2 linked regions of the Neodiprion lecontei genome follow. The protein of the gene in region 2 interacts with the protein of the main gene of each other region in a pairwise test. Links are inferred from orthologs where the notes say so. Each region holds a gene or a part of one and is shown on either strand. Other genes may lie near its edges. The genes, in order: anamorsin homolog and glutaredoxin 3.

The links.
Region 1: the proteins of glutaredoxin 3 (region 2) and anamorsin homolog interact in binary tests that used the Homo sapiens proteins (3 or more experiments, as listed by UniProt). The link is inferred for Neodiprion lecontei from reciprocal best matches to the Homo sapiens genes GLRX3 and CIAPIN1.

What each region holds. Positions count from the first base shown.
Region 1 is NC_060263.1:19,487,965-19,492,118, forward strand, and holds anamorsin homolog, read right to left. Parts: upstream 2,316-4,154; 5' UTR 2,189-2,315; coding exon 2,035-2,188; intron 1,955-2,034; coding exon 1,623-1,954; intron 1,513-1,622; coding exon 1,368-1,512; intron 1,197-1,367; coding exon 1,084-1,196; intron 997-1,083; coding exon 901-996; 3' UTR 706-900; downstream 1-705. Other genes in the region: ubiquitin carboxyl-terminal hydrolase 10, read left to right, coding at 1-133. UniProt on the Homo sapiens protein: Component of the cytosolic iron-sulfur (Fe-S) protein assembly (CIA) machinery required for the maturation of extramitochondrial Fe-S proteins.
Region 2 is NC_060266.1:4,869,715-4,877,863, forward strand, and holds the start of glutaredoxin 3, read left to right. Parts: upstream 1-2,008; 5' UTR 2,009-2,129; coding exon 2,130-2,179; intron 2,180-3,718; coding exon 3,719-4,351; intron 4,352-5,906; coding exon 5,907-6,017; intron 6,018-7,784; coding exon 7,785-8,004; 3' UTR 8,005-8,149. UniProt on the Homo sapiens protein: Together with BOLA2, acts as a cytosolic iron-sulfur (Fe-S) cluster assembly factor that facilitates [2Fe-2S] cluster insertion into a subset of cytosolic proteins.

The sequences.
Region 1 (4,154 bases), on a different chromosome or scaffold from region 2:
CGATAGCTCACTTAGGGGAGTCTCAGAACGTAATGTGTTGAACCCGCTGCCGCCCAGAGTACCGTATCTTTTATATTACAGAAGATTGGATACCATCGGTAATAACCAGCTTAACAACGACAGGATTCGTTAAGTAGTTGATAAGAAATTTAGTAGATAAAACTGCATCTTTTTCTATAGTTTCTATATACATATATAAATTTCAACATTTTTTCACCATACAATTTATATTTAGCTATGAAAATTTATCAAATGACTCGTTACTAGATATTATAAAAATTGCCTTAATTTTTCTCTACAATGATAGTAATAATCATGATGATAATAATATTTGATGTATAATTTATCAGATTCTTAAATGAAATATTAAGAAAATTAATGGAAATAATTTTGATTACTTTTGCGACGTCTTCAATAATTTTATAATGAAAAATCGCAGTTTTCAGAATGTAAAAATTTTATGAGGAAAGTTAATAAACAATGCGGGAATCTGATATGACATTGGAGCGATACTTTACCTCTGAATTTTTCACTGAATTAATGCCAATTATTCCCTCTGGTTTTCTCATTTTTTATTTTGAGTTCAAATTGTTTGTATTTGTGTTTTACATCTCTTAACATGTTTGATAGATCAGCAAACAAAAAAACAATAATAATAATAATAATAGTAGTAATATTGGAACAACTCCATTGTACAGTCGTTTATTTTAAGGGGGGGGGGGTTCTTTTCATTTCAACCCTTCTATTTTATTAATAATTTAATTATATCTGATCTCTAAGATATCGTCTATATGTCTATTTTAATCAAACAGGGAATGAAAATCTTGTTTGTAATTCGACCGTAAAATGTGGCTTCCATCATTAAGAATCAACTAATAGGTGTTTAACACAAGATCCGCATTAATTGTTAGGCAGCAAGATTTTTTCTCCTGGCTTAAAAGCTGGCATTCCTAAATACGGGCAGCTCGCACAACGGAAAGCATCTCCCAAATAACACTGAAATAATGTAATGAAATAAAATTTGACCTATGAAAGAACAAGCAAAAATACTTTTACTGTAATTAGATGTACAAATACACATACGCTTCCACAGGAAGATTTTTCCACTTTCTGCGTGACAGTTTCTCCCGATAATTCCTCGGCTAATCCACAACTGCAATCTTTACATGCCTTCCGCTTCCCAGTTGTAGCGCAAACTAAAATTTAAAAAAAACGCAATGAATTCAGCAGTTTATAAAATTATACAAATTAATTTAGCTTTTAATAATACGAATATTTTCTTTATGATCTAATCCTTAGGTTGTTAATTCTTGATGATTCTTTGTGGTTCAAGCCAACCCGGGTGAATCAATATGCAATTCAATTACCCTTAAGGGAAGCTACTTGTGGTTTTTGAATATCACTTTCATCCAAAAGAGTATCCTCATCTATTAAATCTTCCTCTACCGCATCATCCAGTTTCCATACATTTACAGCGGATTTAGCCAATGGAAGGGCCATCGAGGAACCTACCTGCCAATAGAAAATATGCAATAACTTTGTTAGATTATAAATCATACATTTCCAAAATTTTATAACGCAATCGATATCTATGGAAGAAATCTGTCATGTCACAAACTTGCCTCGAATTGTGGTTTCTTGCCTATAATTTGGCATACTTTGACCTCATCTACGTTATATTGTTCAGAGAGAGTTTTTCGAAGTTCGAATGAGACTGCGGAAGCTTTGCAGTCTGGAGATTGTAGGAGGAATCCATTTAGTTTGAATCTTAAAATCAGTTCCGCACATGTCCCGAGATTTTGATGACCGGATTGCGTTACGACCGGCTCCTGAATAACAATCTTTCCACCAGGTGATAAAATGCGGAGTGCCTCAGCGAGGAGGATATTATTATGGATAATTGGATGCAGAAATCCTGATAAAATTGTGTCGACGGAAGAGGCGTCGTGATTTGCTGCAATAAGGTTATAACGACAATAATTCATGATCATGAGACTGGAGAACTTCATCACTGCAATAGTTGTTCAAACTTACATTTTATGATCTGATTCGAATTCTCCAGTGAAACGCTACCAGAGTTTCCAACCTTAGATTTGGTCTGTGAAACAAACTCCTGCAATTCTTCAAGCGGTGTTCCAGGACACCATATTATTAAAACCTTGTTACCTTCGGTTACAAAATTTTCCATCTTCCTCCGTATACCTGGTCGAGAGTGAATGACAACGTGATTTATGTATTTAAATATGGATTGGAACAACACTCACTGTACTCAATGACTGACAGAAGCACACGTTTATCGTCTGACTTCGAGCTTCGACTCGATTGCGTGTTAAGCCTAGATTTCATGGGCAGCAAAACGCAGAGTGTGGACACTTTATTGTTTCATGGACGTCGTCGGTTTGACGTAAAGTTGGCCAAGCAACTTAAACTTTTTTCAATTTCGACTATACCAATCGTTTGGTAGTCGATTGGTGGTGATTGGTAGCCTAATCAAATCATTTGGTAGTCAATTTATATCAAATAAACAAATCGAGGCGCTCGGTTAGCCGGATTTTTTTAATTTTCACTTCAGTTAAACTCGACAGGAGCTTTAATCGACGCGCAATCATTTGACGATCACGATAAACTTGATAAGAACGATTAGTGGTCCACCATTTGGCTGGAAAGCCCAAAAAACTGAATGGGAAAATAAACTGCGCGCTTTTTCCTCAGATCTGGTGAATTTCTCCTGGAGCTGTGGGAGCTTTCCAAACAAACGCGGTGGTTTCCACGATCGTGTATCCGTCCGTTGACAGCGTCTCCGTACCGCGATGTGATGCCGCATTTCAAAACTCCTTCCCGGTTTTGAACGAAATTTTCATCGTTTTTTGGCGATTGTAAGTTTGTGATATCGAATTTCCGACATTAGATAGTAATTACTTGATCAATAATCAATTGTCAGGTTAGGATTTACTTAGCCTGTGTGTATTTACCGACTTGCAGCGTTACCGACTTGTCGGCGATACAAGAAATTAACAATGAGAATAAATTTCTTCCAAAATTCGTAGCGGAACAGTGATTTAATCGAAGTACAGGTACCCGAGAAACGAACATATACATAGATCAGAAATAATAATAGATCTGATGTAATAATGATGCAGAGACCAAAAAGTATATATGTATATGCGGTCCATGTACGTTATTAATATATATGATCCATTTGCAATTGATACGTGATGCATACTGTAAATTTTATAATTTTCCAGGAGACAAACTGTGTTACCTACAACAATACGTCTATAATATGAACACATTATATATTTATTCGACACGTACTCGATGTATTCCGTAACATTAATATTGATAAATATTCCAACAACTTTTCATTTGCTCTCTCGATCTTAAATTTTCGTAGGCATAGAATCGAAACGCTGTTTTAGCTAGTCGCAAGTGAAGTATCTACGTTGGTAAGAGAAGCAGAATGTTTTTTCGAAAAGTTTTCTTATGGAAAAAAATTCAGAGTAACTGTAATACATCACGGATGCGCTAATTTTGATCGAGATGAAATGGATGCTCCGTATATGAGACAGTATTCAACGCGGTGTCCAGATTTGAAGGCCTCAAAAGGTGACTGTTATTGATTTTTTTATTTTTTTTTGAGAGGGAGAGAAAGAACGAAGCTTCTTAAAACTTCGAGCTTATTTTGAAAGGTACGAGCAAAAATTTTTATCATCCAACTGTCGCATAACGGCAGCGTTATTATTAGCTGACCCGTTAACTGAAGAATATATCGTGGATAAACGGCTGATCATCGAAGAGCCTAGCCGCTTGAGTCTGGAATCGGCAGGAAAGACAAAGTGCGTATTTCTTGTATGAAATGTGAAAACTAAACTCATAGTACATCATATCATACCATCATACATCATACATCATACATCGTACATCATACATCATACATCGTACATCATACATCATCATACCTAGTATTACAGTTCGAAACCAAAGTTTGAATTTTCGGATGTTCGGAAAGTGACGTCACCAATCTAAAATCGGCTAGCCGAGTTCCTCAGTCCGGTACCAACCGCGCAGTAGAGCGGACGGATGAGAGTCGCGCTCCGCAAATTTCGAGTACCGGGTTCTCAACCTCCCGGATCCCGCGCTTCGGCTCCGCTACG
Region 2 (8,149 bases):
TTAGAGATTTTCATCACTGCAACAAAGGAAAATACTCGAAAAAAATCCATCACGACAGGTTTTTGCTTGAACTCGTGTTTGTGGTTTCATTCGGAGTGAAATTCCCGTTTGAACTCGAAATCCGGTATACTGTTCTTGATTATAAAAATCCTACACAAAAGTGATTTCTTATTTTTATTTTCATGCGTATCAGAGTGAGATTCAAGAATAAATACAATCAGGGAAACAGAAAATGAAACGCGGAAACGTGTTCGGAGAAGGACCAAAGAGAAGAAGAAAAGGTTTCATTAGGCAAAAAGAATGAACACGGAATGTTAATATATTTCATGAAAAATATAGTTCAGTTCATTGTGATGAAATATTGGTTTTTTCATTATTTTTATGCTTTTTTTTTATGCAAACATCTTGTATTTTGCAAAAATACCGTACGTGGTGGAGGAAAATGAAACTTATTCTTGGATTCAGCACGCTCGAAAACAGAATATTCACCAAAAACATCCTATGCAGCTGAGATAAAATATTTTTTTGCAGACCTGTGCTGTAGATTCAAAAATCAAAAATCTCCCCTAGCCTCAAAGACCTTTGTCTGATAGATCCTGAAGAATGTCTTAAGATTGGCTCCGAACATGAGAAGTTATAGTAAAATATGTATACATTTTGAAAATTTGATTTGCCTGTTAATCGAATTCAAAGGTCATCCAGTGTCACGATGCAATGTTTGAACCGAAGGTTTCATTACTTCAAACAAAAACGAAATTTCCAAATTTTTATGATCCCCACGGTGACTTGGTGATTTTTTCGAGTATTCTGTTCCTATTTTATAGTAATTGATTGTATTCATTGCCAACCCATTACTTGGATTCATTCTATTCCCTTCTGGCTTGAATCATTTGCATTGAAATTAACTTGAAAAATAAATCAATATTTCGATTTTCACCGAACCATTTGTAGGGACAATTATATGAACGTAATGATGTGTCAGACGGCAGCTCGCCGTTTTATATTTTCAGTTGCGTTCAGCTTAAGATTACGAACTCCGGATGAACTAGTCATGAATTTATATTGGATAATGTGAAATTCGCACCGAATTTATTCAAAATTCGATGGTACTTTAACTACTCTCTCTGTGAATCTAGTGTTACTGTATTTTTTCTGAAAGGTGCACTTGATATTTTATCGTATTTGACTTCAAATTGTTGCGCTGAAATTTGGCCCCAATACCGAACAAGTAGGAGAGTGATTTAAATGAACGAACACATGAATCTTGAGATCCTATATATCGTCATTAAAATATGTACAATGTAATATACTTTTAATTTTTTTAAGGTTCGATTTAGTACTCGGTTTTTTAATTTTGGGACTTTCCATGCATGCGCGACGCGATTGCGCCTGTTTATGTGCAACCCGAACCATTTCACCAATTGCCTACATGCAGGCGGAAATATTGCCCGCGGTTCATCTTCGCTTGCAAACATTTTTACATTACTGTGAGAAAGCCAAAAGACGTATAAGCGTTTGTTTTCACCTAGAAAAGATTTTTCAGCCAGTTAAAATAACGATATCCAAGCCAAAAGAGCTATCAGCGACAATTGTTGGTCTGAAAAATGTCACAAAGACCATTTTTAACCTAAAAGACGTCAAATGCAACGGGATATCTCGTTTTATAGATCTTTTCAGAAGCCAAGGGACATCTTTTTCCAGCATTTGTTACTCCCAAAGCTCTTATTGAGATCATTGTCAACCTAAAAATACGGTTAAAAAAGTCTCTAGACTTCCTAAGAAGACTTTTGTCGCCGGTGTGGCCAGCCAAATGAAAAAAGGTTGCCTCATGGTTGATCATGGCCATGTCGGACATCTCGCTCGCACATTATCTCTAACCCGCTTTATCGCACAGCGTGGTACTAAAGCGAGTGAGACAGACGTAAAATTTTACTCCTGGCGGCGAAACGCCGAACTAGCCATCACAGCGCCTCGTGATGCGAGGATCTTGGCCACGGATCTTGGCCTTTGTGAGACCTTTGGCATCCATGGCCGCAGTATCCTGAGTCGCGTAGCGCGAGCCGGTTGGAAGAGTTAAATATTTATTTGCATAATCGCTGCTGTGCAGGTCTGAAGGGAAGGGTGACAGGATGGCTGTCACAAACTTGGCGACCGTCGACGAGTTCAACACGTACATCAAGTGAGTTCAATTACGGCAAGTGACTCGGGTATTTTTTTAAGGATTTTACAACCCTTGAAAAATCACGAGGTTGAAGTTAGCAACGTTATCGTAACGAAACATTGGGGGGGAAAATCACTGTATTTTAAGGAACTTGGTTTCCAAATATTCGTGTGTTTTCTTTTATCCCGATTTACCGGATTTCGTTCGTATCGTTAAATAACGGTTCTTGCCTCGTGAATCGTTACGATAACCTTACTGACTTCGATATGATGAAAAATCTTCATTCATCCAAACTATGCGATGGTAAGGCATATCCGCACTTTTGGATCCGAGCCAGGACTCTGTAACACTGTTGAAGAAATCTAGACTGCATTCTTTTGAATCGATTAGACGATGGTTAGTGCAACTAAGTGTCTAAAACAGTTTGGCTAATTTGCATACTGCAATGACTAGAATGTCTTGTTTTCAATGCTGACGTTTGCGCATAACCTCGAAAATTGATACTTGCAGCGTCGTACCTTCTGATAATTGAGTTATAATCTAGTCACTGGCTTATCGACCGGGTAAGAAAATGCAATGACTGGAAAAAAACTGATAAAATTTTCCCACGATATCAAGTTACCTACCCTCAGTCACCGATAACTTGAAATCGCACTAGAAGTTTTTCGGGTCATTGTATACTTAACGCGTTATATAGTTATATACATATACTATCTCTCGTGGAAAATAAATAACGGCTTCACTTCAAGAAGGTATTGACCTGTTTCAGTGTTTCTCAATCTGACCAAATGAAGCCGAATGTTTTACATCACTCAAACGTTTTAATGTGACATTTGAACTATAAACTTGTTTTCATAAAAATGGAAATGGGAAATAAAATGTAACGAAACTTGTTCCTTGGTACCCGAAGCTTTGTCATTCGGATTCTAATTTCCATAGCTCAATTGCCACGGGTATATCTTCTTTGAAATGTAAATACTTATCTATTTGAAGTTTTGTTCGCATTAAAAATGCCGAAAATCAAAGGAAAGAGAAAAATTTAAAAAAAAACCATCGATTATTAACAACCAAATTCACAACTCTAAAAGTACCGGTGTCTGATGATTCGTAGAAATATGTTTATTTGTTGAAACTTCAAGTCACAATACAGAGATTTCGTCATTGCCATTGAAACAAAACAAATACATCCGTTTGAAAAAACCGAGTGTTTAAGAAAAGATACAGTTAAATAGATGCAAAAAATTCTTATCTCTGATGAGTTTGACTATATTGTTGAGGACCCTTGAAACAGGTCAATGTTTACGTCGATAATGAACTTTTGCAAGAATAAAAATTAAATGAAACATTGCCGAAGATAACCTTTAATGTAAAATGATATATATATATATATATATGTATATGTATATATATATACATAATACTTTTATAAATATATAATACACGATTACAGATATAGCATAGCAGATATTTTTTACAACTGCAACGTTTGTTTATATTTATTTTTTTAATCACCATTTTTAATCACCTTCGTTAACCAACGTCGTTTATTCACACCAGATCCAAAGATTTGACGGTGATCCACTTCTACGCGGCATGGGCGGCCCAATGCGCGCAAATAAACGATGTCCTCGAAGAAATGGGAAAGTCAGCCGACTACAAGGGTGTAAACTTTGCGAAGATAGCAGCGGAGGACGTTCCAGAGGTTTCTTTGAAGTTCGGCGTATCCGCCGTACCGACAATACTGCTGCTTAGGAACTCCGTCATTACCGACCGAGTAGACGGCGCGAACCCGGCTGAGTTGGCCACGAAAGTAAAGCAACAGATGTCGTCGAAGGATCCGGTGCCGATAGAAATTCCGAAACCGAAGGAGAACATCGAGGAGAGGCTGAAAAAACTCATAAACCATGCGCCCTGCATGCTTTTCATGAAGGGAAACCCGGCCAATCCACGGTGTGGATTCTCAAGGACGATAATCTCCATCTTGGACTCTTACAACGCCGATTATCAGACCTTCGACATTCTTCAAGACAACGACGTCAGGGAGGGCTTGAAGAAGTTCAGCAACTGGCCAACTTATCCACAGCTATATTTGAACGGCGAATTACTCGGCGGTTTGGATATTGTTAGAGAAATGGGCGAAGCCGGCGAACTTGAGGCTATGCTGCCCAAGAAAGTTAGTTTAGAAGAGAGGTGAGTTTAGAAGAGGTCGCATTTTTTCATTGTTGGATAAAAGGAGTTCAAGTTTTGAGCGCCAGTTTTCTTCCAAGTCTTCGATACTGTTGGAAACTTTTTAATAAAATTCCAGATTAACTCAATATTTTGAGATTTATTTATGGATAATAATTCGTTCCGTGTGACTAATTGTTGCAAAAACAGCGTAAATGAGACAGACCGGATAAAGGAAGTTCTCTTAACGAACACGCATAGTACATAAAATAAATGGATATTAAGAGGGGAAACCTTATACAAAGTTAGACGATAACAGGATAGTTAGATCATCTTCAACAGATACTACATTGTCAATGACAGAAATTTTTCTCAAAACAATTGTTCGTGGCTTGGAAAGTATTGACGGTAACTGTATTTTTTCTGTTCGCAATCGGCCACCGGATTGAAGTTAGTAACGTTAATCTAACGAAACAGTGAAACTAAAATCATGGTTTCGAAAGTTTAGAACAACTTTAAAGGAGTTTAATTTTCCAAGCTTGAGTAAACTTCGTTTTTTAAAAACTACTAAATCAAAGTTCCCGACTCATTGATATTGTGCCGGGCATAAAACTGTTCTTTTTTTTTTTTTTTTTTTTATCCCTTCCATTCGCTGATTTCTAATGTTTGACGCGAAGGTCGCGGAAATTGAATGTAAAGTTCTGTAAAGAAGAGCCCACGCACGAAACTGCGTGTAATTAAACGGAAGAGGGAAGGGTTTAGGAACTTTACGAGCGTATATATGACGCACCGCTGGAGCGCGACATGAGTTTTACGACTGTCGACTGTTCTTTTTTTTTTTCTCTCTCGATCAACTCGGTAGATAACGCCGAATTCATTATTTTACACCGGGGATCGTATCATTTCATCGACCTCGATTGTCATTGGTCGGTAGAATTCTACGGTGGCCTTTTCATTCTTACATCGCTTGGTTGGCAATTTGAAATTATAAATTATTTTTATCAGTTTTCCAAGCTCAACGCCAGGAAAGTTTTTCACGTATATATAACGTATACCTAACGATACTCGAATGATAGTTGCCCCATCATTTCACGCTGGCGCTCATTTTGAATTCAAATTCAAATATAAAATGTAAGCAAGATTTAGTAATTCGATTATGTAAATACGTATAGTGAAATATCAAATACTTATAATACTTATATATAGGCACACCTATTAATCTGCGCTCACTTTTATTCATCTGTTTCTCTTTCAGAAGTTGAAAAGGATTAACAGCGGTTCCTATATTTTCTTACATTATTAAGTTATTAGCTCATCCGTAGATATTACGAAATTAAGAGTCGAATGAAAAAAAAAAACCTGCATTTTTCATCCATTGTCGAATAACATTGTGAATAATAAAGAGGAAAAAAGAAAATAATGCCTCGGTGACGATACAAATCTAACGTCAAGTCCAAAGTTTTACTGCTGAATATTGAACAGAGCCTTGAGTCCGTATAGTCGACGAGAAGTATTTACCAAGAAACAAAAAAAATATATTCCCTCCCATTATCCTAATCTTCGTTCACGTAATTCTTAGAGTTCGAGAAGTCATCGCCAGGGGAAAGACAGTGATCGTCATGAAAGGAACCAAGGAGGAACCGAAGTGTGTTTACACGAAACAAATCATGGAGATCTTCGATGCGATAAAGTAAATTCAATCGATTGACATTCCCTTAATCACGATGGATAACAAACTGAACTTTCTCTCGGCAGTCGAATATCATCGGTACCGACGAATAGCACCGTAACATGTTCCATTCCGTTTTCGGCCTCTGACAATGAGTGAGACACTAACATTCATTAATGCCCTAACCTTTCGTCTAACTTGTTTTCGGTCAGAATAAAAATCCGAGCTCGATTCTATACGAATTTCGTGAAAATGACCGGCGATGTAGCTGACGTGAAAGAATCTGCCGCATCTACAGTCATTTTCACGACAGTCTTATAGAATCGAACTCGCATTTTCTTTCGGACCGAAAAAAAGTTAGACGAAGGGTTAAGACATCGATGAATATTACTGTGCATAATCATAGACTCGCGGCTCCATGAACGTGACAGCATAAAGTCGACTAATGTCACTCGTATTTGATGTCGTAACTCACGATGAAATGTAACAAATTCACTGCAGAAGAAGGTCAGCAACTTGCCGTAGGTTTTGCGCTCGGTAAAAGGACCCGAATCTGACATATCGGGACTGTATTTCGTATTCTGTCCTATTCGAGATGACGATCATGAATTCGAATTCGGACAACGTATTCCTGCTTTCGAAATTGGTATACGGATGTATCTTCATACTCTATGGTTCACACCTGCATCGGACAAAGCCACAAGGTTTAGCTGTATAATACACAATAGGGTGGTTTATTTATTAACTTTTTTTTTTTCAAGATGCCACGCGAAAAATTTGTGACAAATACTCGGAAAAAAAAAAAAAAAAAATGGCATGTAAAACGGGGAGGAAGTAGAAAAATATTTATAGGTCGTTACTAATTATTTTAATATTTTTTATTCGTTTTTATATGTACACCTTACGGACTTATATACATATGTATATTAGTTTATTTTTTTCTTATCGTGGTAGAATTAATCATTGTTTAAAAATATCAGTACCGAAAAAAAACAGGGACATTAAGGTGATGCGACGCACCTATTTCGGTGGCAACAACTGTTGTCCAAATTTCTCCGAGACGATTAATCGGACCAAGATGCAAAAAAATATAAACTAATACATATACAAGTCCGCAAGGTGTAGACATAAAAATAAATAAAACAATATTACAATAATTGGTAGCGACCTCTAAATATTTTATTACCTTCTCCAGATTTTACGACAACTTTTTGTTTCAGTATTTGGCACAAATTTTTCGAGTATCACATCAAGAAAAAAAAAGGAGAAAATTGTCCCAAAATGAATCATCCTAATACAAACGCCATCTGCAACCCTGCTGGATCAATGCCGTCACGCTAATTGTGCCACGCGTTGAGATTCCATTCCCTCAAGTGCTATTCGTCGAAAACCTGGATTGCGTAAAAAGTGTGATATTTTATTTGTTGGTAGAAAACAACAGTCATTCATAGTATACACCTAACTCTGCAAAAATTGTTGAGAGATATTTTTAGTTCCGGTTACCGCTCAGTCCTTGACTATTTTCATTTTTTACCACAATCGACAAAATATAGTTCTAGGTAGAAAATGAAAATTAGTTTTCTCGCCGTTACCGGAAAGTCCAGTATCCGTTACTATTCTTTCTCATTACCATCACTGTTAAATTGCAATTGTCAAATAAGCGATGCAGTTTAACCGAACATACAAACCCGATTACTCGTTGAAATCGATACGTCCGGTGACAATTCAAAGAAGTTACATATTTATATAGACTAAATAACAACGAAATCTATCTTTCACCACTCACAGCGTGCCTTACGAAACATTCGACATACTCATGGACGAAGAATTGCGAATCGCTTTGAAGTCCTATTACGACTGGCCCACTTATCCCCACGTTTACGTCGACGGAGAACTGATCGGCGGTTTTGAAACGGTTAAGGATCTATACGAAAGCGGCGAACTCATAGACACCTTGTACTCCGAAACGTTCAAGGGAAACCGGCGAGTCTTAAATTCTAAACTTTAAACCCAAACGAATATTCTCAAATCGTGCCTTTTGCAGAAATTGGTAATAAGGTTTTGGACGAGAGCGATTCGTGATAGAAAATGTAACAAAGAAACTCGACAAGGTCCGAATCTTTTGGAACAGCTGTAAACTGTAATTAAGGGTA